Linked DNA regions of Ovis aries. The protein of the gene in region 1 purifies or fractionates together with the protein of each later gene. This does not show direct contact. Links are inferred from orthologs where the notes say so. Each region holds a gene or a part of one and is shown on either strand. Other genes may lie near its edges.

Region 1 (4,751 bases):
TTGGTTTGCTTCCTTGCCGTATTCTTGATACTCCAGTCAATGTTAGCCAAGGCAGGGAACAAGGTATATATAATGTATTCTGAGGCCCCAAAAGATAAGATAATGCAGCTGAACAACACAGTACTGTCAAGGGCATGGGCTCCAAGGGCAGGTAAAGGTCAATCCTGGCTCCCAAATTTTGTATGCACAAAATAACAGACACCACTTCACAACAGTCTTTCATCTGTGAAACAGGACAGATAGCATGCAGGGTGTCTCAATAAAAAACATATGTTTATTATTTTGCTTTACATTCTGTAGCACCCTCTAGTGGAGTGTACAAAAATAAGCATTATATTTCTACCCTCCAAGAAGTGTGCATTGGAATCACCAGAATAGTTTGTTATAACACAGACACCCAAACCCTAACAACTACTAGAATTTCTGATTAGTTTGGAGGTGAGAATCTAAATTTCTGACAATTCCCCACCAGGTGGTGCTATTGGTGTGTCTGGAAAACACTTTGAGAACCTCTGCTCTAAATCCCACCCCTCCCCAAAGGGTGCACGTGTGTGCCCAGAAACACATATGCACACACACACAAACGTATGGAATCTATAACTGAAATAAGTATAACTTGTGTTGTTTGATTTTATTAGTATGCCTCTAACAAGGATTTTGTGAAGAATTAAAGAATATCATGTGATATGACACATCTAAAATATAGAAAGCATGCAAAAAAACAGGATCACAGAACATAAATCCCAGGTTCTCAGAACTAGTAAGTGGTGGAATCGGGCTCAAAATTAGGCCTCTAATTAGGCCTCTAAACTCCAAAAACATAATAAAGTTTCACAGTACTACTGCAGAAGACAGGGTGAAAACACAAATATCCGATCATAATTTCAAAAGTGAAAGATCAGTTTTCAATCCCAGGGTCCAAGCCCAGTGAAGACAAATGTCTGTACTGACCAGAAAACCACCTGTGTTTTCCCTGCAGCAGAGCAGGGGTCAGGGTGAGGTGGTAAAGCGGGGCAGGTGGCAGCATTTGAAAAGATCCTAACCCCACAGAAAGGGTTAGAATCTTCGTATCTTCATCGGCGTCAGTGCTTGGGGGTCATTCATCAAAAATCCCATGGACGGAGGAGCCTGGTGGGCTGCAGTCCATGGGGTCGCGAAGAGTCAGACACGACTGAGCGACTTCACTTTCACTTTTCACTTTCATGCATTGGAGAAGGAAATGCAACCCACTCCAGTGTGCTTGCCTGGAGAATCCCAGGGACGGGGGGAGCCTGGTGGGCTGCCGTCTATGGGGTCGCACAGAGTCAGACACGACTGAAGCGACTTAGCAGCAGCAGCAGCACCCCCAAAAAAGGCAAGAAGAAAGAGATGGGAGGGGGAATTTTTTTTTTAAGGAGGAAAGAAGTAAAGAAAGGAGGTAAACATTTGAATAGAGCCCTACCTGGTAGGGCTATTAATAAGTTAATTTGATTTTTCTCGAGAAATGAAAGATATATATGATCTTTATAGATTGGAAAGCTCAGCAAATCAGAAAAAAAAAAAAAAAAAGATGGGGGAATCCCATAATTCCAGGGACCAAACAGCCAATCCTTTGCTGGAATTTGGCGGCATCTAGTGGCAAACTCAAAAGGTATAAACCTCACACGGAGAACTTTCTGGAAAATTAGAGTGCATACTTGCGTTAAGAGCACTCTGCCTGGAAATCAGAACAAGCAGGTAAGAGAGCCTCAGCTCCCACAGAAATTCGGAGTCCCTAGTGGAGGGGAAGTCTGTCGTGTACAGATATTCTCAGCAAAATATTGTGGCAGAACTGGACGCAACTTGGGGGTGGGGGATGGACGGGGGAAGGAGCGGGGGTTGGGGGAAGACGGCTATTAGGGAACAGCAAAGCTGCTTTTTGGAACTGCTAGTAAGCGAATGGGGGATTTGGTTGTTAACCGCTGCTGGGCTACGGCTTAGAACGGGATTTTTGATTCGGAGATAGACGTGGGAAGAAAGTGTATTTTTAGGGTTTAAAATCAAATCGATAGGGGAGACCGAAGTATTTCTAGCGAAAATCCTTTATCTCAGTGATGGTCGCCATAACTTAATTGCTTAAATTTCCGTTTTATAAGAATAATTTTCAAACATAAGTAGAAAAATGATCCGCATAGAACGCGCGCGCTCACGCGCGCACACACGCGCACGCACCCGCCCCAGAACACACACCAGCCCCGACGCTAGGGGCGCACGCCTGCGCACACCAGCCACCTCCAGCGCCACGAGGCCTGGCGTTCGCGCACACGCCAACGCCAAGGCCACGCGGGCTCGCTTGCGCACAGGAGCCCTGACACCGCGCGCCCGCAGTACCCCCCACCCCCAACTCGCACACACATCAAAACCCCCAGTCAACCTTTATTTTTTTTTTTTCCTCCGGGAGTTGCGCAAGAGGTTCGGGGGCGTGGCCGCAGATTTGACCTAGCGCTTCCCCACTCGCGGGGACCTTAGCTCATTTCCGCCCATCCTGTTTCCGCAGGCCACGTAGACACTTCCTTTCCCAGTTGGGGGGGAACCCACAATGCCTCCCTGCAGGAAAAAAAAAAAAAAGAAAGAAACCTCTGGGCAGGGGAACTCTGGGTCGTGAAAGTGGGCCACGTGAACACTCTGCCCTATAGACTTATGACCCAACCGCTGTCGCGCTTTTGGAGGGCGGGCTGAAAACCTAAGAGGGCGAACGTCATTGGTCAGAGCCCTCACTAAAGGAGAAAGGTAATTGGTTTCCTTCAAGCCTTAACGGTGAAGAAGCAGGTTGCTAGCACCCGCCTTTACTGCGGCGGAGTGTCATTGCTGACGTGGTGAGCTTCATCCAATCATTTGGTTATAGAACATTCTAAAACTTAGATGAGACGATTGTGATTGGCTGTAGGGCATAAGCCCGCCTCCAGGGTGACGTGTCTGCCTATGGATATCAGTTGCCAGAGAAACCTGGCTTTACTATGGCGGTTGGAGAGTCGGCAGTGATCACACGTCGTCGTCTGTCGGAAAGAACTGGATCCTCGTTTCAGGTTTCGGGGTGGGGGTGGGGAGAAAGGGTTGACGATTTCCTCTTATCGTCGCGTATACAGACAAGATTAATTAATGGCTTTACTATCGGGCAGAACTAGATTCGAATTCCTACTCGCCAACGCCCAGCTTGGGCTGGCTGTTCTTTCTGTGTCTCGGTTTCCATGTTTGTAAAATGGTGATAATAATAGTATCTGTCTCAGAGACTTGTGCCTCAGAGGCGTGTGCTGTATATTAGAGCGTATAATATACGACTGCTAGGTAATGTAATACGTATAATAACTTAATACGCACCGTGGCTCCGGAAGACGTTAGCTATTACTGTGGAGAGAAAAACCCGCGTAATAGAGTGAGAAAAAACGTAAAATTATGTAAAGTCGTTCCTTACAGTGCTTTTCCTATCACCTCCTTCCGTAAAAGAAATTCGAGATACAAAAGAGACGTATCAGTCTTTACCAATGAAATAATTTATTTGACAATTACCTCAAAATAGCGGGGATTGGAATTTTCCGTATTGAAAAGTTAAAAAAAAAAGCGGGGGTGGGGAGAAACGGAGAATGAGGAATGAGAGCTAGCTGGAGATGAACCACATGCGATGAGTAGGCCTTGTTTGAATCCTGATTCGGGGAAATCAACTATAAAAAAATACTTAAAGGTGCATCAGGAAATTTTAAAGACGGATTCGACATTTGATTTTTTTTAAGGAATTAATGACGATGTTTTTAGACGTTGTAATGATACTGTGGTTATGTTTTCAAATTGCCTGTAGCTTACAGAAATATACGAAAATACGAATTAAACAATAAAAGCATTCAGACTGGCTTCAAAATACCTTGATGTCTAGGATTTGCTTCAGAATTAGCTCAGCGGTAAGGGGAGGTGGCGAGGGGCATAGATAAAACAAAATTGGCACTAAATGAATCGTTTAAGCTGAGTGATGAGCTTATGGGATTCCTTGTATTGTTCTAGCTTCCTTGGTATATGTTTGAATTTTTCCATAATAAAATACAGAAAGTCAGCTATTCAGTGCTCTTGAGAAAAACAAGAGTGGGGGGGGGGGCGGCGAGCAGTGGGTGGGGTTACAGATAAAACAAGATGGCCTTCAGTTGGTAATTGTTGAAGCTGGATGATAGATTCGCAAAGGTTTATATTATTCCCCTACATTTTTATCCATTTGAAATTATCCTTAATAAAACTTAGAAAAAAGCAAAAACAAATTATCGGAAATCATGATAAATGTACAATAAGGTAAATTTGAAAATGTAGCCACAAGAAAGGGGGAAAAATCTTGTACGTATTTTATCAGCTTTGGTGTCCTTTGTGTATGTTAAAATGCATTGGTGGAAAACAAAACGTTCATCTCATATCTTTATGTCCTTTGCTGTCCCCTTGTTTGACCTTCTAGACTACCATCAGAAAAACTAAGTTTGCTGTGTAGTGAGGATCAGGTCTGATCCTGATTGCAGAACATCCCTCATTACAGAATCTTGGGTAAGTGCCTCCCTTCTCCTGGCCTCAGTTCTGAAACAAGATAATTCCACATAACCATGATAACTATCTAGGAATATTTTGAGGATTAATAAGGGCCTGTCGAGGAAAGCACTCTACATTCTAAGAATGGAAGGATGGAGCTAAGTCCATCTGTGCTTTCAGTATAGAAAGTGCCTAAAAATCAGTGGGCCCTGTAATCTTACATTCCTTGGTAAAGG
Region 2 (3,036 bases), on another chromosome or scaffold:
TTTTAAAAGTGGCCTATGTGACTGCTTTTCTAAAAAGGTATTTAATGCTCTTAGTACTTTGGCTTATCTCTTTGAAATAAAGCTAATACACAGGATTGCCTTCACATTGTTGTACTCTGCCTTTCCTGATTGATAATTGCATTGTCTTAGAGCCTAGACGTTGTTAATATTAGCTAAAACTACTTGGCTGCTCTATTAGAAGTTCCTTTTTTTTGTCAAATTTTCTCAAACATGTTTCTGCCTTGCAAGGAGCCCCAGGTATTTATGAGGTGATGGAGTACCTAAGAGGCCTTATTTTGTGGACACATTACGGAAAAAAACATAATTCGGGGGGATTAACTTCCCAGCTTCTTTATTTAAATAATAACTCCATAAGAAGTCATTGTCTATCTCTGGGCATTCCCGTTATTTGCTATCATTTAAGCCAAGGCAGCTCTTTGGTTTGCTTATATCCCAGGCTTCCTGCATGTGTAACCTAAATATCCCCAATCTTGTCTCCAACAGGTGGACTGGGTGCAGTGTGATGGTGGCTGCGATGAGTGGTTTCACCAAGTTTGTGTGGGGGTCTCTCCAGAAATGGCGGAAAGTGAAGATTACATCTGTACAAACTGTGCAAAGAAGCAGGGGCCAGACAGCCCAGGGCCAGCGCCGCCCCCTTCCTTCATAATGAGCTACAAACTACCAGTGGAGGATCTTAAAGAGACCAGTTAGCAGACGCTGGGTTGGTTTGGGACACGGGGGAAAACGGACCACACTGAGACCGTAGTCATCAAGTAGAGTGGTTTAGGTCCACTCGGAATGTTGCTTCCAAAGATGAACGGCCTTCTGGGAAAGTCCTCTCAGCCGACTTCTCTGCGCATGGATGTGGGACCCGCGTTCTCTGTCTGCACTCGTGTGCTATAAGGGTGTCTGCCTTGGTCTAGCAGCTGGGGTTTCAGTACATGTCTCCTCTGAGGTCCTTTGTCACATTAAGGCCAGACACTGGAGCTCCAGGGTGGCAGGTTGGCATCATTGCGTTGGTGTGCTCGCAGGGCTTGTAAGAGTGTTTTAGGGCCAGTTGATACTAGTTAGAGGTTCGCGGCCAGCACTGTTGGGAGGTACTGACTGCTTGGATCTCCTTAGTTAGGGCAGTGGGAGGAGTCAGAGGACCAGCTTCCTTCCACTCTGACCTGCTTTTGATGCCTGGCAGGTCCAGCTCGGAGAGGACCAGGACGAACATAGTCCTGTTAGAGGCTGTGGGAAGGGGGCCTGGCCTGTAGACCTCCGCTCCGTGTGCTTGTGTGTACCAAGAGGAAAACCCCAAGTGAGGGGCGGATCACCCCATCTTCCTAAGGGGAGGAGAGTAGCATCCAGTTCAGAAATCTGACTAGATTGGATTCTGGGAAGAAGAATCTTGCCAAAGGCAAGCAGCCTTTTTTGGCTTTGAGAAGTCTTGTTACCTTGGGTCTGCATTTAGAGAAGAGCAGGTACGTGGATCCAGGCTTCTGCAGCAGCAGAGACAGTGAGTCAGAATGTTTCACTGAGCTAGCGGTGCATGCTTTTCGGGGAAACCTTCATTGACAAGTGTACCAGGTGCCACCAGGCTTCAGGCATGGCCACCAGCAAAACCAGCAAAACAGCTTTTTGCCTTGCAGCCCTGCCCCACTGTCTGGTTCCAGGACTGGCAGTTGCTGACAGAGGCCGGCTGCGGGCGCTATCCCGTAGCCCCATGGCTTCCTCCGAGGAGTTGGGCATAGAGTACCTCTGGTGACGAAGTTGTTTTAGTAATCCATTTTTAAAAAAAGAAAAAAGGACTTGTTTTTACTTTTTTCTAAATGTCTCTGACTACTGACTGTTCTATAAATAGATTATTTTTCCTTTTTTAATATACATATATGAATATATAAATATATATATATTTACCATTACCAGCAGCTTGTGACGGAGTCTCAGCATCAGAAATCCATTTGGGGGCTTGCTTTCTCTCCTTGCTTTTTATAAAGGAGTCCCACGCCTTCCTTGTAGTACATGGAGTTAGCACTTCCTTCTCCAGCCTCGCGTGACCAGATCGTCCATCTTGTTTTGTCCAGATAGATAATTCTGTTTCCTTTGTGTGTTGGGGCTCGTCCCTGTGTGTGGGGACCCTGATCGTGCTGTATCTGCAGTGGTGGTTCTGTTTGGTTCTGCTCCGTTCTGTTTGTGAAAGTTTGAAACAACGGTGCTGTGTTGTCCTCCTTCCTGTTGTGTTCTGTCCTCGTGGAGGTGTTAGGGACGCTCTTATTAGAAGGGGACTCTCTTTTTTCTTTAAGGACAAGAAAGACCCACCAAACAAGCTGAAAATGGTGTTTCATCTTCACTATCCTGTGTCCCTTTATTTTGGGTTGAAAATATGTGGTTTGGCTTATAAATCCATCAGTTTTCCTTTTAAAGGGGGGAGCAAGATGGGCCCAGAGAACAGCTAATACTCTCGTCCTCCCTTTTTAAAGAAATGTCTTCTAGTAACTAGAAGCGAAATGTACTGTCGAGTCACAGTTTGAGTGGGTATGAGATTTAACTCAAAAGACCTTCCTAAAAAAAAACCTTTCCTGTAAAATCCAGTTTCTGGACATGCTTTCTCTAGTTCCTATTACCAATCTTTTCGTCCCTCTTCCCCTGGTATCATAAAATCTTGAGTGTTAAGTTCATCAGTGTTGACGTGCATGGATCTTAACGTTTCATCTCAAGTGTATGTATGATTTAAGATTTCATTGGAAATTACAAGGTAACTATTTCCATAACTTTTCGTTTTGATAATGTACATAAAGATACTACTTAGTTAAGAATTTCATCTGGTTATAGAAGAAAGCACAATTTTTTTTTTCCTTTTGGTCTTCTCTGTAAAAGCCTTCAGACACTTGTAGGTTAAAAATTGATTGCAGTCTTCAGTGATGGCTGCCTGGAACATGCTTTATAAAACACCTTATTTTCCCTTCAGCTGTCAGCAGAGGGACATATGAGGATGCTGAGAAAGATGGCTCAGGGGCTCTGCTTCTTGGAGAGTGGGAGATAGGGAGAGAG
Region 3 (4,758 bases), on another chromosome or scaffold:
ACCACACCCCCACGACCTCACCCTATCAGACTCATCCTCCTTACTATCCCCCACCCCAAAGCAGCAAAGCCGTTCAGGCAGTTAGACAGTATCCTAGCCTGGGAATTAAAAAAATACGTCTCATTCTTAGGTCTGCCATAAATTCACTATGTGAACTAGGCAATCACTACTCTTCTCTATGCATCAGGATATGAAGAGGTTAATACAGATGGTTTTAGGTTTTAAGCCCTTTCCAGTTTTAGGTTTCTGAGAATGCTAAGGATACCTTAATATCAAAAGTGAGCCAGGACACAGCTACCTGGTAACAATGCCAACTAAACACCTCGTATCAGGCGCAATGATGCCCCTCCCTCCTCCACCGCTTCATCTACAGTCAGGCAGAGGCAACTGGCCATCTTCGTAGATGGCACCAAAGGGAGGGACAGGCGCGGTGGAGAGCGTGAAGCCCTGCCCAGAGTCCGAGATGAGACCTTCAGACTATAAATCCCAGCATACAGCGGCAGCTCTGAAAGGTATCTCCCTCTTCCCCGAGTCCATCCTACATTACACTGCATCGCACGCACACGAAACTACGGCTCCCAGAATCCACCAGACCCATCGCGATTCTTGCTCCCAGGGTGCAATGCTCTCCCTTCGCCCTTTGGACCTTGGCGCGTTGCAAACTGGGAGCTGAAGTCCACTGCGGGCAGGTAGCTGGGCGTTGTCAGCATTACAAACTCTTAGCCTTTGGTTTCCTCTTGGAGGGCAATTTTCAGAGACAGTAATCAAAAGAGGGTGGTGTCGGGCAGGCAGACCTCCACGGTGCCTTCGCTACGAAAGGCAGGGATGCTCAGGCTAAAATTTACTGCTGGGAGCGGGAGGGAAGAGAGAACAGAAGCCATCCAACCCGACACCAAAACCATCGTTTTCCGTCGCGATGGCTTTTCTTTTTCTCTTTACCAATATGGCGCCTGGTCCAGCCACACCTGACGCTGGACCCAAACAGTCCAGTACAACATCCCTAGGAGGACATGCTGTCACCGACAGCCTACCAGCACCAGCCAACACCACACTTTGCTTCTTTCTGTTCGCGCCTGAGGACTCCAAGGGCATAGTAGTCTATAACCCACTACCAAAATGGCGAAAGGAGAAGCATTCTTGTTAGGGCCTTCTGGTGACAATACGCCTGCGCCGGCGCGGGCCGTGTTATTGTGGGGCGGGAGGGGAGCACCCGCAACACGCCTGCGCGAGACTAGAGTCCTCTCGGTCTACACTCAAACACCAATGGATGAAGAGCCCCGGTGTCCGTGCGGCTGCGCCGTGACCCTTCGGAGCTTTCCCAAGCGCCTGCGCGAGACATCAAGTCCCGCCCTACCCTCACAGTACGCTGGCGCAGGGCTGAAAGGCGGGGCATCGGCGCTCCAGACGAATGCCAGCGCGGCTGCGCGCCGGGGGGTGCCCCCTCTCTGCGGCTGCGCGGGAGCCCGGCCGCCGGCTGTCACTGCGGTTGCGCGCGGCGAGCGGCGATCCCGGGGCGCCTGCGCGGGTGGCTTTGCGGGCGCTCGCGGTAAGTTTGCGCCAAGTGCGCGGCAGCCGGGACGCAGACGGCGGCGGCGGCGAGAGGCGGAGCCCGGGGACCACCCCCCCATCACCCTCCCCGCAGTCACCTCACGTACCACAACCTCACCTAACCTCTCACCCCCCCACCTCCGATCCCCCCAACCCCGGGATGGCAGCGCCCGCCAGCCTTCCCGGCCGGACCAGCGGTCGCCAGCGCCGGCTCTAGCCTGTGGGACTAGGCCCCGCCGAGGCCTGACCCCCCCCGAGCCGGGACCCACCGTGCAGCCAGCCGCCGGGCCGGGGCTGAGGGGCCGCTCCCCCCTCACGGCCCGTGGGGAGGACGCTGCCGTCCCGGGGACTGGGGGCCGGGGGGTGGGGGGGAGCCAGGGCGAGGAAGTCGGGACCCGTGTTTGGAAAAAAGAAGAAGGGCCGGGGTCAGGAGCGCCCCCTCCCCCCGCTTCCCCCCTCCCCCCGGGGTTGGGGGGGCCGGAGCAGAGAGCGCCCAGCCCGGGAGGTGGATGAATGTGGGAGAAAATGGAGACCAAGACGATCGTGTACGACTTGGACACGTCGGGGGGGCTGATGGAGGTAAGAGTGGCCCACCTCATCCCCTTCCCCCAGCGCCGGGAGGGAACCTCCGCCCTCCGCCCCACAAAGCCGGCCCTGAGCTCGCAGCGCAAGAGGGCCGGGGGAGGGGGGGCTCTTCCTCACCGAGACTCTCCCTCCCATCTTTGCAACTCGGGGGGCCGAGCTCAGCCGCCGAGGACGTTTGCAGCAGTTTCACCTACCCGCCGACCTCGATTCGCTCTCCCGAAGCGCCAACCCACTCCATCTCTTTGCACCGGCGGGCCTCCCCACCCCCTTCTTGTCGGCCCCTTTGTGCTTCCCCCAGCACGTCCGGGTACCGGGCTTCAGGCCCTTCCCGAGCCTGGCTTTGGAGTCCCCCACTGTCCATACAAGGAAGTGGCGAGAAGGGAACCGCGCACCCTCTCCCCATCCCCCTACTCTGATCCTCCCCATTTGGAAGAAGCGGTGCTCGTTGTTGTGCGGCAGGAACGCGGTTAGGGTGGCCTCCCCCTGGTTCCGGGGGCTAAGAGGTTCTGGGAGCAGCCTGAATGGGAGGAAGAAGGACAAAAGGGGGGAGAGGGGTGGGTGACGGAGAAGCCGCGCCGGGGGGGCGACGGACCGCCCGGGAGCTCCGAGTGTGCACACACGCCATTTGTATGTGTGTGCAGCAAATCCAAGCTCTGCTGGCTCCCCCCAAGACGGACGAGGCCGAAAAGCGGAGTCGGAAGCCTGAGAAGGAGCCCCGGAGAAGCGGCAGGGCCACCAACCACGACAGCTGCGATAGCTGCAAGGAAGGTGGGGACCTCCTGTGCTGTGACCACTGCCCGGCCGCCTTCCATCTCCAGTGCTGGTAAGGTCTGGGGACCCCCTCCGGAGCCCCTTGGCGGACCCTTCCCGGCACATTCCTTCACCCGGCCTACCCCTGCTGGCCGAGATAACGGGCGCTTGCAGCCGCTAGCTCTCTGCAGCCGCTGGGGCGAGCGCCTCCCCGCCCCCAGGTGCGGCCCGGATCCGGCCGTTTGAGGGGGAGGAGCAGCCGTAGGTCCGGACCCCGAGGTGGGGGTGGGGAGGAGTGCGGAGTGCCCCATCTGGGATTGGAAGTCGCTGGGGAGCCGGGACGGACCCGGTGGGGCACGGCCGGCGGTGGCGGGGGAGGAAGGGGAGGAGCTCCGGGCCCTGCGCCGCTCGCCGCCCGCGCGTCCGCCCGCCGCCCTCGGGCTCCTGCCGGGATGGGCTGTCCTCGGGGTGGGTGCGCGGGAGCCCTCTGCCGCAGGAGCTGCCCTGGTCCAGGCCTGAGGGACCCGGCACCCGGGCGCTCCCGGCCATGGAAGAAATCATGGAGGGTGTCTCTGAGTCCGTCTGTGCTCTGCTTCTCTGTTTACAATATGGCGACCCGCCTTTAAATTATATTTTTATTCTCAGCGCCATTTTGGCTGCATATATGATTTGCAGACGTCTCCCGGGGAACGGTGGGGGTAACCTCGGAGTCCTTTCGGCGGAAGCTCGTCGGGGGCCGGAGCTGGGGTCTTGCCGCTGGGGTCCCCTTTCTCTCCCGCCGCTTGCCCCTGTTGCCTGTCGGAGCTGCCTGCCTCTTCCCTCCCCTCCCCGCGCTGCCGCCTCTTAGGAAATCGAGCCGGGTTAGACAATTAAAATTGCCCTTGGGCGCCGATTTCACTGCTCCGCTCCGGATCGGCGAACCCTTCTCTGCAAAATTCTTTGCTGCCGGGGTTCTGTGTGCCCTGGCTCCGCGAGGGCATTTTTAAGGAGCGGAGAGCTGGAAAGCCGGGCACTTTTTCTCCCCCCCACTTACTGAACGCAAGGGGAGGGGAGAGACCGTAGAGGGAGGGAGGGACCGGGGTTAGTCGCCCGCTGCTTGATCCTCCTCACCGGCTCAGCCCAGAACAATCCGACCAAGAAGAGTGTAAACTCCAGCTCCTGCCTGGAGAAGTCACCTCGGCCTTCCTCAAAAATCCCACATCTGCGCCAGGACCCCGATCGATTCTTGTTCGGATGGCTCTTGCTCTGTTCAGCAACAGTTGACTGAGGCAGATGTTTGCAAGAGGAGATGGCTGGGGAGAGAGCGGGAAAGAGAGGGGCTGTTGCGTTTGTTCCCACCCGTTTTTGATATTGCCATTTTTAACCTTCTCTTTTAAAAAAAAAAAAATACCATAAAGTGAGGGTTTCCTTAAGCTCTCTACACAGTTCCATTCACATTCCGCCCCCAGGTTGGTGAAATAGTGCCTGTTGTGTATTTGTACTAATTGCAGGTTTGGGAACACTTATTAGACAGATGAGTGATACTGGGCAAATTAAGTCTGTGGTCAGAAGTTTTGTAGGAAGCTCCCATTACCATTCCCAAAATTCCTTTGCCCGGGAGAGCACCCCATCTTGGCTTGTAATGTTGCAGGGACAAAAATGATTATCCTGGAGGGATCTTTGCTGATGGCTTTAAAATTTTTATTGCTTAGTGACTAAGGCCAGCAGGAAGGGTCTGTGGTTTTTAGCCTTTGCTTCCTATAAGGTGTAAGCCATCTCCTGTCACATTTCCTGTGCTGTTGTTGAGCACAGAAGAGATTTGTACTGGGTGGTGTTGTGTTGCTTACCAGTTATTCCCTATTGCTTTTGTTTGTGTTGTGATTGTGTTTGATACAT
Region 4 (3,967 bases), about 110 Mb from region 1:
ATTTGGCTCTTTAAATTTTTATTTAGGTATCTCTAAGAAACTATTTTTCAAAACCAGTAGATCATTACTTCATATGTCTTATTGAATAATTTCTTAAACATATTGAGACTTATATGCTCTACCTAAAAATCTATGTATGCATTCAAATTCAGATGATACAAAGCTGCATAGAGTGAAGACTAAGTTCCCCTTCCACATCCTCTGTTCTTCTGGTTGCCTTACCCAGAGCAGAGTCATTTGTGATTTCTTATCCATCCTGCCGGCATGAAGAAGTACATGCTATGCCCCTCCGCCCTCTTTTTCTGTTAGGAAGTTGTTGACTTGACTTTGGATCTTAGTTCCCCAACCAGAGATCGAACCTGTGACCCCTGCAGTGGAAGCTTGGAGTTCTGACCACTGAACCACCAGGGAAGTCTCTGTTCACTTGATTTTTTAAATTAAGAGTTTGTATTGGAGACTTTTTTCCTATAAGCATGCTTAGATATATGAAGGGCTCGGTAGAATTCCTTTGTGGATATACTGTGACTTGTGTCACCAGTTCCTTATTGATGGATATTTGTTTTCAGTCTTTGGCTATTTCAGGCATTCCTACCAAGAATAACCTTGTGATGATAATCTGTGATTGTCAGGTGAATTTCCTTAAGTGGTCAAAGAATTCTGGCACTGAAAATGGACAAGGTCTTTTGTAACGAGTGCTTCTGCAGCCTTAGGTACATCCAGTATTTGAAGAAAGCAGTGAAATATTGATGGGCGAGGAAAAGTAGGCTTGTTTTTCGATGATGGTGATGAAAGAATTTGTAGTAAAAAGAAAAATCCTTATACGATGATGGAGTCAGAGGAAACTGAAATAATTGAATTTTGGAGTCAAAAGAAGCTTTTCAGACCCTCTAGTCCATGTTGTAATTCTACTCCTTAAAAAGGTCATATGATGAACTGATGTGTTTGACCGTAACTTTACCTGTAGGTCTTAGAATTTTTCTACTTAACGCTATAAAAAACAAGTCACTTTTCTTCCTTTTATGTCAGCCCTGATATTGCTGGTGCCTCCTTTCTCTCAAGTATTCCTATTTCTTTTCAAATGGTTCTCATGAGATATGTTTAAGTTCCCTTTCACTTCAAGCCACTATTCCCTGTAAAAGTTTCATTTTTGCCTAAGTCCTTCTAAAATGCATTGCCTAGAGCCTAATTTTCTAAGTGTGGTTTTCCCAGTCACAGATTAGTAGATGAATGCCCATGTGTATTGCCTCTTCCTACCCTATATAAATTCATGTAAGATGAAAGTAATTAATTTTTTTATAACCACATCGTATTCTTGGCCACTGAACACACATCAACTCAGACCCATGTCTTAATTTTTTAAATAGATTCACTTTTTTATTTTTAAAAATATTTTATTTATTTATTTATTATTTATTTGACTGTGCCAGATCTTGCAGGATCTTTGATCTTTGTTGCAGTCTGTGGGATCTTTAGTTGTGGCATATGGGATCTGATTCCCTGACCAGGGCTGGAATTTGGGCCTCCTGCATTGAGAGTGCACCATCTTAGCCATTAGACCACTAGGGAAGTCCCCATGTTCTTTTTCAAATGAACTCCTATTGTTTAGCCATGGCTGCCTTATTCTGTTCTTGGAGTTTTTGTGTATTTACTGCTCTTTCATACCCTAAGCCCAATCTTGGTAAAATTTAATCTTGTATTTTTTAGTTATTACTAAATTATATGCCTGGAAGTAATTCACAAACCTTTATTCTAAACCAATGAATCCTTTGTACAGCTGGAATTTAGAAACAGTCTAGGGTTTTGTTTTTTTTTTAATGTTGGGGCTCAGAGCCTTACTTCTCAGCCTGCCTTACTAATGTGGAACTATGGGACACAGGTGAAAGTTGTTCTGAATAATACAAATGGGAACGCATTGTTAATAGATACAGATGCAAAATCATCACTTGGATTAAGTGCCAAGAGTCATCAGTGGTTTCTTTAGCCACAAGGAGTTACCATAGAATAGGGTAACAAAGACGACCCCCTCCCCTGCCTTCCCCTGTAAAAATGGGAATGCCTGTTTTATGAACGTTAAGCACCATAAATAAGGGGTTTTCACATCATGTCATTTTTACTCATAACCTGTTTTTTAGGTGAAGAAATTGAGACCCGCGGGGAAGTTGTGATTTAAGGAATCACATATAACTAATTTTAGTTTGAGCCTGGGTTTAAACCCAGTTTTTCTTGACTCAGCACTTTATTTTGTCCATTCTGCCTTTTTACCTCTTACTGGGAAACCAGAAACACCTAGAGTATTAAAATTGAAGGTTTTTTTTGTTGTTGTTGTTAGGTGAGAAGTCATGATTTATGAATACGGGAGTCAGTGATAGACAATTTGTTAGCAACTGATTTCTTAAAGGATTGTGGAGGGGAAAGTTGAAGTTTTAGTTGCTCAGTCATGTCTGAATATTTGCGACTCTGTGACCCCTTGGACTGTAGCCAGGCTCCTCTGTCCATGGAATTCTCCAGGCAAGGACACTGGAGAGGGTAGCCATTCCCTCCCCAGGAGGTCTTCTTGACCCAGGGATCAAATCTGGGTCTCCTGCTTTGCAGGCAGATTCTTTACCATGTGAGCTACCAAGGAATCCCCTTATAAGATTAATATGACTTATTTTCTTTCATAAACAGACCGGAAGGAAAGGATTATGCCCTTCATTGGCTAGTGCTGGGGACTCACACATCTGATGAGCAGAATCATCTCGTGGTTGCTCGAGTCCATATTCCGAATGATGATGCGCAGTTTGATGCTTCCCACTGTGACAGTGAAAAGGGTGGTAAGTAATCCATACATTCCAGCATTGGTGTCTGAGGAGTAAGCCTCTAATTATATATTAACTTATACCAATATCTTTTGGGTAGTTAAACCTCAACTCTGAAATTTTACATTCACACGATGAGATAAATCTGTATGCACTGGTATGGAAAGGTGTCCAAGATAAATTGGGTAACTGATGTGTGTGATTATAGTAACAGTTTTGGTAATAGTAAGAATATGTGTTGGTGTATGCATAGAAAAAAAAGTCAGGCATTTATACCAGATGGTTAATAGCTTTTTTATGAAAGTTGTTGACTCCCTTCCTGCAAACCAAACATAATTCCCCTGTTTGGTATTCCCACAACCACCGAAGTTTGATGATTTTGCTAGGAGGACTCAAAAGACTCAGCAAATTATACTCAAGGCTAAAGTTTGTTATAATTAGAAATGAACAGAAGCAGCAGGAAAAAGATATACATCAGGGAGTCTAGGGAAGTCCAGTGCAAATCTCATCCAGGGCCACACAGGATGTACTTTGTTTCTGGCAACAAATAACAGGGAGACATGTGGGCTATCTCTGCCCAGGGAAACCCATTTGAGGGTCAGGGTCTCTGTCTTTCTTGGGGGTTGGTTGTGTAGGCAAATTATACTGGCAGCCAGCCATGGCAACTGAATCTTGAGACCCCAGTAATGAACTCAGGTGTGTATCGTCAATCTTGATATTTGTACAAAGCCACCCTGACAGACTGGAACAGCATGGTCCATTGCTTCAGGTATACACCACAAAATCAACCCATCAGTGACATAGAGGACATTCTGAGGTCTGTGTTCCCAGGAGTTGATCAGGGGTCAGTTGTGGCCCCAGTTTCCATCAGCAGCGAGGACTAAGCAAGCAGACCTGCCGGGTTAGTGCTTCCCCACAACCCCATGTGGTTAAGCAGATCTTAACATTGTCCAGTACTTTTTAAAAAATAAAACACTGCTTTATAGCTAAAATCTTGCCAACCCTGCTCCATTCCTCTCTGCTTTCCTTTCCAGAATTCATCACTGTCCTGAAATTAGTGTGCCATTTTCAGCTATTTTTATTATTCACACATAATGCTGTACAGTTGGCTTTTTTCATTCAGTTCTCTGTGTGTGTACCATGTAAATGTCTAGCTTATTCTTTTTACT
Region 5 (4,454 bases), on another chromosome or scaffold:
CCTTGAATGGCCTTTGAGATTAATCTAGTATAGTGATTTTCAAACTATTGCCTAGAAGTCCACAGATGTGAAGTAAAAGGGAAACCTAAGTGGATCCCTTGCCTCATTTATTCGGCTTTGCCTACAAGGTGAAACAAAAGATTACTAGAAGACAGCTTTGGAATTATCTGTGGCTTTTAATAGTCCATAATTCTTTTGAATTCAATCAAGAAAAAGTAAATGTTCATGCAGAGTTTTGAGACACAAGTATCAGTAACTATGGAAATCTGATAGACCTAGATTTGCATTGTTTTATTTACGATTTGGAAGAATAGGACACAAACTACCAATTACATCCACAAACCTTATCAACATCACCGTGAACGATAACATAACAGTGCACTTCCCCTGTACCTAGGAGTTAATTTGACTCTACACGTACATCGCACATCAACCCTGAAGGCAGATTAGCGGCTCACTAATTTCTATGCTCAATTTTTCGTTTCTTGTTGATAAAGAACTAAGAAAAATAACTTTCTGAAGGACACACAAGACACGGCAGATGGAGTCCAGACCTGAACTTGATATATATGGTATCTTTATTCCCTAGCCAGGCTGCCTAATGAGGTTGAAAATGTATCATCCATTCATCATCCATCCAAGAAGAATGCGTAAAAATGCACAAAAACATCATCGCATATAAACAGTAGTGTGAAATTCGAGAAATTTAAGCTGGGTTTTAAAAAAAAGAAAAGGAAAAAGTCGACCACTGAGTGGGTTCTTTCCTGAGTCCTAGGTCCGCAACACAGAGCCCAAAGGGAAGCCCCCTAAGGAGGGTCGCCGGCCCTACTGGTCTCACTCCCTACCTCATGGAGGTTCGGAGTCCCGCTCCTTTCCCTCATGGGTACAACCCCCATGCCGGTCCATTTCCTCACCGAGTCAGAAACCAGCTCTCCCCGCCCGGCAAACGGCAGACACTGTCAAGCGCTGTCTCCACGCCGCGCGTCCCGCAGCGGAGAAGCAAGCTCGGGTCGTAAGGCAGGAAGCTGCTCAATGCGCAGCCGCCGCGGCCTCCAACCACCCGCCAGCGGAGGGGCGCTAGGCCGCCCTCGACCCGCTCGCCGCGGCCAGGGCGAGGCCAGCAAAGGAAGCTGCGGCGCCAGGGCGCCGCGGCCAGCGAGGTAAATAGCCACAGGTTTCTCTCCGTCACTCGCGGTCATTCGTGTCCTGACGGCAAGCTCTGCCCACTGCGCCTGTCGCTTTCTCCCCCGCTTCTGCGGCCGACGGGAATGGAACAGTCCCGCGGGGGGGATTGTGGGAGGCGCACGCGTGAGGGGTGGAGGGTATGTCGGGGGGGCCGGAGGAGGAGGAGGCCGCGGCGGCCGTGGCGGCGGTTGGTGGCAGTGGGGGCGGGGAAGGGGGGGAGGAGAGGAGAGGAGGTGGAGGAGGAGGCTTGGGCTCGCGCTGCTGAAGGTACGCGTGAGGGCCCGCGCCAGAGCTGGCTTGACAGGGGCCGAGGGGAAGGGGAGGACTGTGCCACAAGGCGCCCCAGAGGGAGTGCGTGCTGGCTGGCGGGCGCGCGAGGCGGCCGAAGGCGGTGGTTGGTGGGAGCAGCGAGCGACGAGCCCAGATACACTCTGGCGCGTGCGGGCGGGCGTGCGCGCTCCGCCGCCCGAGTCGGCTGAGGGGGGAGGACGAAGGGGGAAAACGCGAGGAGGGAGGAGTGGGAGGTGGGGGGGCACGAGGCGCCCTTCGCTCCCTCCCTCCCAAGGAGCTGCCGCCGCCGCCGCTCTGCCGCCGCCGCTCCCGCCGCCATTTTGGGTTCGCTTTGCGGAGGGGGAGAAGATCCCCGTCTCGGTTGCGGGACCCGCCTCCCCTCAGTTTCCCCCGCTTAGCCCCACGCCTTTCCCCTCTCCTCTCTCGCATTTCCGCCAGTCCGCTCACCCGCTGGCCGCCTCCTGACAAGCGGGAGGGATCCGCTGTGGACCAAGGGAAGCGGAGGAGCCTGGTGGCGGCCGCCCCCTCTTCCCCACTTCCCTGCACTCTCATCTCCCTCGGCCTCGGCCTCTGACACGGTGAGTAGAACCGTCTGGGGAGGCCTTTGGGCCTAAGTACTTCCTCAGCGACCCAGCCCCTGGCTTCCTGGGAGCTACTGTCATCTCCCGGACCTGGACCTCCGGGAGAGCGGTGGTAAGGATGGGGGAGGGGAGGGGAGGGCAGGGGATCCTGCGCTTACCGGGAAGTCCCTCCTGGCGGGGGTGCAGGGGTGTCCCTGACAGGCGGGCTCCTGCTGGGGGAGGGGGCGGGAAAGTAAGCGAGTGGAGGCGGAGTCGGCTGTGCCCCTGACAGGTTAGTTTGTATCTTGTGGAGGAAGGATTGGAGCATCCCCCATAGTCCTGTTTGTTTCGTGGAAGGGATAAAAGTGGCAGGAGGGAAGATTTTCCGTACGGCCAGATCTGTGGTGTCTCTGACATGCTGAACTGTATGTAGGGACGACAGAATGATCTCAGTTCCGCAAGTTTAATAAATGTTACTCGTGGCTTTGGGCATTGAAAGACATGTTTTTGGTCTAGAAGACAGATGGTCTGTTGGTGTATAGCGGCTGTGTTTGTGTGAGTATACAAGGAAGGAAAGTGTTCCGGAAGAGTTTGCTTGTATTTTTACAAGTGTAATGGAGTTCCCCTTATACTAGCTTATTTTTAAAATAAAGCTTGGGATGTTCCTTGCTGGTTGATGTGTTTGTGTATTTCAGGGTTTGGGATTGCCTTAATACTTACTTGGAAAGAGAAGTCATGGTAGTATTTTGGAAATATAGCATGTAAGTGGTGGGGTCCAGAATAGGAGAAACTTATCATAGTCAGCTATTCTTAAGAATAGTTTGTTGCTCAGAATAGGGTGAATTGTTTAGATGTAAAGGCCCAGAACATCTTTACTTGAACAATGTACTGTGAGTGTATAAAGAATGGATGGAGTTTTTGTTGACCTGAGTTTGTATTAACACTTCGTAATAGAATAAAGCTTTTATATTGTTCAGAATGCTCTGTTTGTAATCATAAATAAATCTCTGTGGAAATGGTAGGATGAATGTTTTCTCCCATTTACAAAATAGGAAATTGAGGCATGAAGACATCATTTTTTCAAGGTCATTTGTTAAATTGGTGACAAATTTGGGACTGTAATAGATACTTTTGACTCCTAGTCCAGTAGTATAGTCATCATATCATGACATCTCAGGAGATCTTTGTCAGGCAAATCTGAGTTTATTGGAAAGATAAGGGCATATTGAATGGTATTTGGTAGAGATCAGTTGTGTCAGACAGAACATAGGTTGTCTTTGCCAGGTTGGCCTGTGAGAGATGGGTATTCCATGAGGATATTACTTTTTGTTTATGGAGGAAGCAGAGCATTTCTAACACTTGAGTTTGTGTATTTGAGGGAGGGATATTTAACTGGTAACATAGAAGCAGGGTGGGGGCTGACAGCTTAACTTTAAGGGATAAAGGATCTTCTTTCATTCATTCAACAAATATTTACTGAGTAACTACTCAATAAATGGTCCCTGCCTTGGGGTGAGAAAAATCAAGGTGACCCTGTTGAAGCAGCTCGGGTACATTTGTCTTGACAGTGGTAAATACTGAGACAGTGATACATATTGAGTCAGGTGAGGTAGACAGGTCAGTGTGGAGTTGAAACTCAAAAACCTTCCTCAAAAGTGTACTCAGTTTGGAGGGAATTTAGATCTTCCAGATGTTTCACTGTGGAAGCATACAAGTGTATTTAAGCATCTAATAGGGTGCCCAGTTTGTGGTAGAGTGTGCTGCCTTTTGCATTTTCTTTGGGCATTTCCCAGTAAACTGTTTTGGGGATCTGGAATTGTCAATATATGTGCCTGTGAATATTGGAACTTTTTGGCCGCGCTGAAGAAATTCTTCGAAAGACTAATTTTGTAGTAAGGATCCCCTTCTCTGAACATGAGAGAAGTATACTTGAATTAAGGCAACTTAACTGTATTTCTCCGGAAAATAGAGTGTTCTTGATTTGCTGGATTAGTGGTTCTTAGAAGTTTTTTGGGGGGGTCCACTTATTTTTCTGAGAATGTGATGAAAAAACCCTCACTGTAGAAAATGATGGGCATGAGCACAATCACACAAATTATGCATACAGTTTTTAGAAACTTAAATTGTAATGAAGTAGAGCCAATTTATATTTAAGTCTCATTTAAAAGTCTTTTTTTAAAAATAGTTTTGTTTGGGAGTGGAGATGTTGGTATGAGTTTAAGATGAAAGATTTTTTGACAGTGAGCATGCTGACAGTAAGGAGAACTTTAAGATCTTTTTTATTCTGTTTATTTTGTTTTCTGTTCTTTGCAGATTGATTTCTACAGTGTTAAAACATGATTCTAACTAGGTGATCAGAGAATGTGATATAACACAAATGTTTATAGATTTATTCTTTCTCATAATTATTCATATTCT
Region 6 (4,472 bases), on another chromosome or scaffold:
CCCACAACGCCCTGGCCAGCAAAGCCACCAGCAATGTGTTAGGCCCTAAATGGCAGCGGGACCGAGGAGAGAAAAAGACAATGGCTACCTTATAAAAGTAAAGCTCAAACAGTCTTTTTCTCAGGGGGTCCGGTGAGCTCAAACAAGAAGCGACTGCAGAGACAGAAGAGGCTGCCACCTGTCACTTAAGTCAGAAGGGGCCGCAAGCCTGAGCTGAGTCCACGGTCCTGCCCGCAGGGAAATGAAGCACATCCACAACAAAGACGGCCGGTCACACACGCGTCTCCACCACTTCCTCCTGTGCGCTGCCAGGGTGCTCAGAGGGATGACCGGCCCGAGCACAAGCGGGGGCCGCCTAGCGCTCCGAGGGGGAGCCTCAAACCCAGACCTTGGTGGCTGCGACTGCCAGTATCTTTTTTAATCAGAACACAGTTGCTTTCACAATGTTGAGTTTCTGCCGTACAACCAAGTGAATCAGCCACACACACCCCCTCCCTCTTAGACCTCCCTCCTCCTCCAACCCCACCCCATCCCTCTAGGTCATCACAGAGCCCTGAGCTGAGCTCCCAGCGCTACACACCGAAGGTCCCAGTAGCTAAGCGTTTTACACATGGTAGTGTGTTTATGCCAAACCTAATCTCCCAATTCACCCCACCTTCCCCTCCCCCACTGTGCCCACACGTCCGTCTTCTATGTCTGAGTCTCCATTCCTGGCCTGGAACTACGTTCCTCTGTCCTATTTTTCTAGATTCCACATGTTAATACATGCCCTAATATACCAATACTGGTTTTCATCTTTCGGACTTACTTCACTCTGTATGACAGACTCTTAAGTCCATCCACATCTCTGACTGTGACTGGACATAAAACTACGTTCAGAGAATGCCTCCTTGACACATACAGACACACCCACTCTTGATTTAAATCTGCCAAGTGGATCAATCTGGGATGCAGAGGCTGCTGGGGAAGGTGTTTCAATTCACTCTGATTTGCGCTAGAAGCATTTCAAGAAGATCGGCCCTTCACCTGCTTCCCTGCCAATGAAACACACGGGATATACTGCCTGGCATGAGTACCCCCAGGGCCAGGGTGGGCGGTGCTGAGTCCAGGTCACTCACACCACTGCATACCTGGCTCGACAGAGGCGACTGTATGTTTAACTTGCCGTTCTTGGGAATGTCTATCCTGTAGCCGAGAGGGAGGAAAGCGTTGAATCCAACAATGAGGTCAGGGTGTTCGTGGAAGAGCTGCGACACTCGCCGGATGACACCCGGAGTATCAATGCTGCAACAAAGAAGACCAGGAGTGGGCAGGAGGGTCTTGGGGGGCAGACTGGGAACCGAGCTGACTTCTGACTCTCTTACCCGTCCCAGGACACAGGCTGCTCAACAGACAACGACGCACCCTAAACTGTGTGACTGCAGACGGTGGTCCACCACCAAGGCAGCCAGGCCTGGGCTCCCTGTATCTTCCTGCCAAAACCCCACACAACAGGCGCACAGCACAGCTCCCAAAAAACCGCAAGCACGTGCGCTAGGCTCTGGAAACGTCAGGAGAGCCAGCTGCACATCCTGAGCTCCAAGAAGTGACAGGAAGCCAAGTCCTCTAAACAGGGAGACAAATTCACTTCATACGAATCAGCGATCTGCTGTTCCCAGGAGTTGTTCCCAGCAACTGACGGTAATGCATAAATGTCAAAGGCCCTGCACGTATGGAAACTGCGTAACAGCTCAAGGAGAGAGGAGATAGAGTTCTCCCTCGGGGCTGCAGTCAGGGCCAAGGTCTACCATCGGGCTTGGGAAGGAAACCAGGTGAGCCCTGCCGTTATTACTTCCTCTGTGGGGAAAGCACCACGGTGTAGATCTGATACAAATCTAAATCAGAAGGCATGGAGTCCTGGTCCCGCCTCTGCTTCTAACGTGAACCTGGGTGAACCCCTGGCCCACTCTAAGTCTCAGCAAGACCCCTGTCAAACAAGACAGGGGATCGAGAGGTCCCTGATACATCTCTCACCCCCTTGATCCTGTGCCTATGAAAACAGCTAATGTGTTTTAAATGCCTTCTAAGTGCCAGGTTCCTTATTAAGCATTTTGTGTGCGTTATTTCCCAAGCAGGCCTGGGATGAGGGCGAGGCAAGTAAGGCACTCACCTTGGGGATTAAGATTTGAGGGGGAGAAAGTGCCAAAACATTCCTTAATCTGGATAAGTAACATTTTCATGTAGTGCTTGGGGCGGGGGGGGGGGGGAGCGGGGATCTAAATTTTTAAAAAATCCCGGACGAGCAAAATTTATCTTTAAAACCCGACACTCTGAGTAAAGACAGGATCCCACCCTGTGCTTGCCTGACCGCCTCACTCGCCTCACCGCATCCCTGCCCTCCTTCCAGGAATCCCCACAATAGCTCCACAAGGAGGGCACCCTTCCGTCCCGTTGTCTGGAAGAAGGACCGAGGCTCCGAGCAGCCACCACCTGCGCAAGGTCACCCTGTTGGGGGCCGGCGCGGGCTGGCGGCTCCCACGGCGCTCAGGCCCACTGCGGCCCAGGGCGCGCCCTGGGGCGGCCCCCGGGCAGGGGCCCCGCAGGTACCTCTGGCTCTTGAACTCCTTCATGATCTCCAGGAAGCCATTGTAAGTGGCAGGATCGCTGCCGAAGCGGATCTTCACCTGGTCCAGGTAGGTGAGGGCGTCTTCCACCTGCGGGGAGGGGGAGGGTCCCGGTGGGCCGCGGTCGGCGCAGAAGGGGCCGGGGCCGGGGGTCCCTGGCGGGAGGGGTGCAGGCCGGGCTCCGAGGGGCGGAGGCAGGGGGTCGCGGGTCCAGGGCCCGGCGGAGCGGAGGCCGACGCAGGGCCAGGGTCGGGCGGGGCCCTGGCAGGGGGCGCCAACCTCCGGGGACTGGACGGCCGGGTTCCCCAGGGAGGGCTGGGGCACCACTCACGTGCACCGGCAGTTTCTCGTGGCCCCCGGAGCCCGAGCGACCCCAGCGGGCGCCGCTCAGCCCCCGGCCCGCAGGGCCGACGCCGCCGCCGCCGCCAGCGTGCGCCATGTTGGAACTCGGAGCCGCGGCCCGCCCCGCCCCCCGCCCGAGGGTGGGCCGCGCATGCGCTGGCTCCGCCCCGGAGGGCGTGGCCTGGCGGCGGCTGGGACGGCAAAGCTCCTGGAGGGACTAGCTGTAGGATCTTACCCAAAAAACTGAAAGGCTGCTAACGCTTCAAGTACCACCGGTGGGCAAACCAAGGGCTGGCCTCTGCTTTTGTCCGGCCCCACAAGTAAGCTGAGAATGCTTTTTACAGTTTTAAAAGTTGGAAAAACTCCGGTAGTGCAGATTACTCCGTGCCACGTGAAAATTCTATGAAATTTAAGTTTCAGTGTCTGTAAAATTAAGGTTTACTGGAACGCTGGAATGCCCACTCGTTTACTGGGCACCTCTGGCTATTTTTGCGCTTTGACAGCGGAGTAAATAGCTTCTACAGATGCTAAGATCTACACAGCCTGATATATTTACTGAAATAGGGTTCTGGACCCCTGCTTTCTAGGGTTGATGTAACAACTGGGGGTATGGACACACAGCACCCCAATACAAGGCCCTGCATTGAAGTGTTGCCAAAATGCTTTTTTTTAAGATGTTTATTAATTTATTTGGCTGCACTAAGTCTTGATTGCAGCATGCGGGATCTTAGTTGTGGCATGCAAACTCTTAGCTGTGGCATGTGGGATCTAACTCCCTGACCAGAGTTTGAACTCATGCCCACTGTGTTGCGAATGCAGAGTGTTAGCCATTGAAACACCAGGGAAGTCCCTGCTAAACTGCTCTTGACTTAGTCCTGATCCTCCTCTCCTCACTTCTCTAGTCCTGTTCCCATCGCTTCCCCACAGGACCAGTTTGGGAGCCTCTTAACCAGTTTTTCCAGTCACAGTGCTATCAGGAACTGAGATCATTCCACAACTGCTTCCAAATCTCCAAGGTCTTCCTACTTCTTATGAGTTAAATCTAAGCACCTGTATGCAGCATTGAAGGCAATCAATTGTGAACCTAAATTGTGAACCTTTTCTTGCAGAATTTTCCACCCAAGTAAGCTGCCTTCTATCTGTGCAGAAACTCCTGTCAATGCCTACTTAGCCTGGCTGCTCCCTGACCCCATGCGTCAGCCGGAAGCCCTATTAATCTCTTCATTACACAAAAAGCACCCTATATATCCTGCAAAATACAACCCAAATATCCTCTCTCTCAAGAAACTACCCAACTTCTCCTCTGCCATCCCACGGTCTCTTGTACATCATCTGCATTTGGTATCTCTACTTGTGAAGAGGTGCAGGAAAGCTGAGAATATGCTGGCAACGGGTGCATCGTTTGCCAGGGGTCAGGAGTAAAATTGGGACTTGCCTGGTGGCTCAGACAGTAAAGCATCTGCCTACAAAGAAGGTGACCCGGGTTCAATCCCAGGGTGAGGAAGATCCCCTGGAGGAGGGCATGGC
Region 7 (3,967 bases), on another chromosome or scaffold:
CAAGCTACTTCTAATACTTTTAGGAAGGTACTTAATAAACTCTCAGACATCAATATGCAGTTCTCATTCTTAATAATCCAAGAACTAGCCAAATTTCCTACATTTTTACAATGGTTTGGAATGAATCTGTACATGATTTATCCACTATTTTCAACCCATTGTTCATGTTTTAAAAAAGGCACAGGTTTTTACTATGAATTAAAACACTTTTTACAGGAAAAATGTCAAACACAATGAACTTACTTTAGTAATTCAAGGATGGCAAGCACAATATCATTAACATAACAGAATCCTGATGCTTCTGACTTCTTGGCATGATGTAATCCTCCAGCCCAGTTAACAGCCATATCAGTTTGTTGTCGGTTTAACTTCACAGCACCAGCTAACAATTAAAGATAGGAGAAATGTTTAAATGTTCAAAATTAAAAGTTACTATAACTAGACAAAAGCCCTAGAGGAAAGAGGATGTCATGCATAAGCAAATGAGTATAAAATCATAAGAGGACCACTGCCATGGGCACTAACAGCTTCTCTTTAGGTGACTATTCTCCTGTAGCTGTGATCTGGTTACATAAGAGCACACAGTTGGAAAGTGGTAGTGACAACGGTAGCTAGAAGAAAGGGAGGAAAAAGAAGTCTCTAACTGGAAATGCAAGTGAAGTAAAAAGCTGCAAATAAAAAGTTTGAGACATTATGATCACAAAACTGGGTGGGGGGGTGCGCGCCACTGAAAACAACTGTAACTGTAGACAGCTATAAACATACTATACACATACTACTTTTGTTATTAAAATCAGACACTATTAAAGCTTGTTTCAAACAAATATCTCAAAAAATACACACAAGTTTAAATCAACTTCTAAATTTGACGAAATCAAGACACTTACCAACTGAGCCACCAGTTGAAAGCTGACAAAACTCAAAAAGTCCATCAAACACTGGACAGTCCTCTCCGACATTAACTGTGGAAGACGGATTTCATTAATTTCAATCCATTCTGTGAATCAATGAAAGCCTTTTCTTACAAAAACTATATCCTAAAAATAACATGTGTTTGATGCAATCATAAAACATACACATCATAGTAGTAAAGTTTGCAATTTTATCCAAGGCAGTTAAAATATAAGGTCTGAAATACCACCACCAATTCTTCACATGATTATCTATGGAAAATATCTGCTTTTTAAACAAATCAGTAGCTATCAAAATAGAAAAGGTATTTGGGGTTATTTAATTAAAATACGAGGTTAAATTTCCTAGGCATTTCTCCTTAAATATAGAGCAGTAAATTAATTAAAATCCTAAAAAGTTTAAGCTCACTTACTTTATGATTTACATTTTTTAAAACTCCTTTAAGTATACAGAATATCCATAACTTTGAAATGTACTGATCACCAAAAAAATGTAACAGTTGGTTGCCCACATCCATGGTTAGTGTTAATCTTAAAAGATGGTAAGAATTCCGTAAGCTGATGACAGCCAAGATACAGATGAAAGAGATACTTAAGGCACAAGGAGACAGCACACGAATATAGATACACAGCACATCACAACATATTTAGCTTCTTGGTACTGAGAGGATGAAATGGACACAGATTGTACAACCCATTCTCAGTTCTCCTCACCCCTCAATTTATATCCTCTTCAAGAAAAAGGGTCATTACTTACTTTGTATAGGTTTGTACATCCTTAATTTATTTTAACATATACATTTTATCTTCCTGCTATTCAGATATGATCATTATCTTAATACAATTCAGTATTATGTAAATTTAAAACCAATCCTGTTAGTTCATTTTACCTTAGGGCTAACTATGACTTAATCTAAGCCTAAATCCCCATTGAAAAAACAGGGGCAAATAATATCTATTAATATTTGTAATACAACATCTTACTGAATCAAATGAGATAAACAAAATGTACATCAAATTCTATGAATTTATAAGATGTCTAGCAACTACACTTAATTTAGTATTACTGAACAAATAATACTGTTTTAACAAAATCATTAATGAAGTCCATCAATAAAAACATCGGAATGAATGCCAGTATCAAGCTTTAAAAAACATTGTTCTAGTCATTTTAGAAAGACATCTTGCACTCTATCTTCTTGCATTCAATCTCTAATAATAAAATATCTACAAAAGATAACACTGTGTAGAAGAGAGTCAAAAGCTTCATTGATACAACAAAGGGAAATACAGATATACGTACAACTGTCCCTTGGTATCAACAAGGTATTGTTTTTAGGACCCGGATGATAGCAAATTCTGGGGATGCTCAAATCCCTCATACAGTGTTTTCATACAACCAATGGAACATCCTCCCATATATTTAAATCATCTCTGATTACTCAATATTTAATATAATGATAGTGACCATGGGGTCACTAAGAGTCGGACACGACTGAGCAACTTCACTTTCATGCATTGGAGAAGGAAATGGCAACCCACTCCAGTGTTCTTGCCTGGAGAATCCCAGGGACGGGGGAGCCTGGTGGGCTGCTGTCTATGGGGTTGCACAGAGTCGGACACAACTGAAGTAACTTAAGCAGCACCAACAGATAGTTGTAAATGCAATGTAAACAGCTGCCCACAAGAGGTAAATTCAAGTTTTGCTTTTTTGGAACTTTCTGGAATAGTCTGGATTAAAGCACACAAATAGAAGACAAGAAACATACACACCAGACTACTGCCAAAGTACAGTCATATTTTTAAAAGCAGGGGAAGGAGGTTTCCCTACCAACATCCACTATCTCAAAGTTAACATGGAACCAAACCAAAGAGCAAAGAACATCCAAATAGCTCTTTGGCAGTTCGGCAGACCAATAAGCTTCAGGTAGGCTATTTTTTTTTTTTTTTTTTTAAAGCAGCTTTAGTATTGTCACAGGGACTTTTAAAAATAAATAAATAATAAAAATAATTAGATCAGGAAAATATCTAGATTTAGGTAACTCTAATTGCAAGTTCTGAAAGTACTTATTTATACTTATCCCTCCTAATATATACTTTTAACAAAGAAACGTACATCTCTGCATCTGCTTACTGTACTCAGACATGTTATCTGGTCTTATTGAACGTAGAAATTTGATGTACTCATCACTGTGGTATTTCGTCATTTCTTCAGCAGTGGCTTTATGGGGCCTCTGTGAAGAAAAATAAATGTCAGAATTGTGTAATTACAACTGGTTAGATCAAGGTTACCAAACACAAAGTATACAATGTCCCCTACCACTACTCTCAAGAGAACTGTCTGCCAGAATAAAAGAGATACATTTCAAAGCAAATCCAAATTTATACATATGTGTTTTAGAAAGCAGTAATCAATTTCAAAAACAATATTCCTTTTAAAAGGATTACACAGGTCTAACACCAACTATGAATCAATCACTCCTTTTTTTTAGTGGAAACAGCTCAATCCTTCTAAAGACTCTACTTTCTAACATTTTCTACCATAAACCTTCTGCTCCAATGCCAGTAATTTCATCACTGACCATTAATTTTCAGGAAGGCTGAGACTCATCCAGGTAAAATGAGACTCATTTTCTATTAGTTCATGACCTCTCTTCCTTTTCCTTTGACTATCCTAATCATCCTTGTTCCCAGGAAGTTCACTTCATTTATGACACGCTTCCTGAATGCAAGTCCTATTCAACTCTTCTCTAAATGTTTATAATCTCAAAGAAAGAAGCTTACATATATTGCCCAACACTGCTCACTGCTCCAAGCTGTCCTATTCTCCCCAGCAGACAGGAACTGTCACACCTTATATCTGTCTGTCTACATTCTTATCTTTTCTGCACAACAGACACTTTGCATGCTTACTAATACAGTGTTTCATATGCCAACAAATATTTGTACAATTAATTTTCTTCCTAATTCTGTTGTAATAGTCCCAGATCAACTCTTCAGCAGCATAGACAGGTCAATAATTATTTTAACAAAAATATTTAGTATGCTAAATTGAG

The links.
Region 2: the proteins of MORF4L2 (region 1) and KDM5A purify together in Homo sapiens (affinity purification with mass spectrometry; 4 studies listed by BioGRID and IntAct, with this or other methods). This does not show direct contact. The link is inferred for Ovis aries from reciprocal best matches to the Homo sapiens genes MORF4L2 and KDM5A.
Region 3: the proteins of MORF4L2 (region 1) and PHF12 purify together in Homo sapiens (affinity purification with mass spectrometry; 9 studies listed by BioGRID and IntAct, counting the BioPlex papers as one, with this or other methods). This does not show direct contact. The link is inferred for Ovis aries from reciprocal best matches to the Homo sapiens genes MORF4L2 and PHF12.
Region 4: the proteins of MORF4L2 (region 1) and RBBP7 purify together in Homo sapiens (affinity purification with mass spectrometry, with the first as the bait; 3 studies listed by BioGRID). This does not show direct contact. The link is inferred for Ovis aries from reciprocal best matches to the Homo sapiens genes MORF4L2 and RBBP7.
Region 5: the proteins of MORF4L2 (region 1) and ASH1L purify together in Homo sapiens (affinity purification with mass spectrometry; 5 studies listed by BioGRID and IntAct, counting the BioPlex papers as one, with this or other methods). This does not show direct contact. The link is inferred for Ovis aries from reciprocal best matches to the Homo sapiens genes MORF4L2 and ASH1L.
Region 6: the proteins of MORF4L2 (region 1) and SIN3B purify together in Homo sapiens (affinity purification with mass spectrometry; 5 studies listed by BioGRID and IntAct, with this or other methods). This does not show direct contact. The link is inferred for Ovis aries from reciprocal best matches to the Homo sapiens genes MORF4L2 and SIN3B.
Region 7: the proteins of MORF4L2 (region 1) and HDAC2 purify together in Homo sapiens (affinity purification with mass spectrometry; 4 studies listed by BioGRID, with this or other methods). This does not show direct contact. The link is inferred for Ovis aries from reciprocal best matches to the Homo sapiens genes MORF4L2 and HDAC2.

What each region holds. Positions count from the first base shown.
Region 1 is NC_056080.1:129,270,538-129,275,288, reverse strand, and holds the start of MORF4L2 (mortality factor 4-like protein 2), read left to right. Parts: upstream 1-1,657; 5' UTR 1,658-1,716; intron 1,717-2,972; exon of another isoform or gene 2,973-3,044; intron 3,045-4,447; 5' UTR 4,448-4,533; intron 4,534-4,751. UniProt on the Homo sapiens protein: Component of the NuA4 histone acetyltransferase complex which is involved in transcriptional activation of select genes principally by acetylation of nucleosomal histone H4 and H2A.
Region 2 is NC_056056.1:213,066,788-213,069,823, reverse strand, and holds part of KDM5A (lysine-specific demethylase 5A), read left to right. Parts: intron 1-504; coding exon 505-711; 3' UTR 712-3,036. UniProt on the Homo sapiens protein: Histone demethylase that specifically demethylates 'Lys-4' of histone H3, thereby playing a central role in histone code. Does not demethylate histone H3 'Lys-9', H3 'Lys-27', H3 'Lys-36', H3 'Lys-79' or H4 'Lys-20'.
Region 3 is NC_056064.1:20,259,060-20,263,817, reverse strand, and holds the start of PHF12 (PHD finger protein 12), read left to right. Parts: upstream 1-1,559; 5' UTR 1,560-2,061; coding exon 2,062-2,127; intron 2,128-2,774; coding exon 2,775-2,956; intron 2,957-3,312; exon of another isoform or gene 3,313-4,758.
Region 4 is NC_056080.1:15,062,356-15,066,322, reverse strand, and holds part of RBBP7 (histone-binding protein RBBP7), read left to right. Parts: intron 1-2,667; coding exon 2,668-2,813; intron 2,814-3,967. UniProt on the Homo sapiens protein: Core histone-binding subunit that may target chromatin remodeling factors, histone acetyltransferases and histone deacetylases to their histone substrates in a manner that is regulated by nucleosomal DNA.
Region 5 is NC_056054.1:105,708,967-105,713,420, reverse strand, and holds the start of ASH1L (histone-lysine N-methyltransferase ASH1L), read left to right. Parts: upstream 1-1,293; 5' UTR 1,294-1,452; intron 1,453-1,793; exon of another isoform or gene 1,794-1,914; 5' UTR 1,915-2,169; exon of another isoform or gene 2,170-2,215; coding exon of another isoform or gene 2,216-2,364; exon of another isoform or gene 2,365-4,454. Other genes in the region: DAP3 (small ribosomal subunit protein mS29), read right to left, coding at 2,216-2,364. UniProt on the Homo sapiens protein: Histone methyltransferase specifically trimethylating 'Lys-36' of histone H3 forming H3K36me3. Also monomethylates 'Lys-9' of histone H3 (H3K9me1) in vitro. The physiological significance of the H3K9me1 activity is unclear.
Region 6 is NC_056058.1:5,999,004-6,003,475, forward strand, and holds the start of SIN3B (paired amphipathic helix protein Sin3b), read right to left. Parts: upstream 3,059-4,472; 5' UTR 3,043-3,058; coding exon 2,935-3,042; intron 2,694-2,934; coding exon 2,587-2,693; intron 1,285-2,586; coding exon 1,131-1,284; intron 1-1,130.
Region 7 is NC_056061.1:23,746,980-23,750,946, reverse strand, and holds part of HDAC2 (histone deacetylase 2), read right to left. Parts: intron 3,146-3,967; coding exon 3,028-3,145; intron 963-3,027; coding exon 888-962; intron 383-887; coding exon 244-382; intron 1-243. UniProt on the Homo sapiens protein: Histone deacetylase that catalyzes the deacetylation of lysine residues on the N-terminal part of the core histones (H2A, H2B, H3 and H4).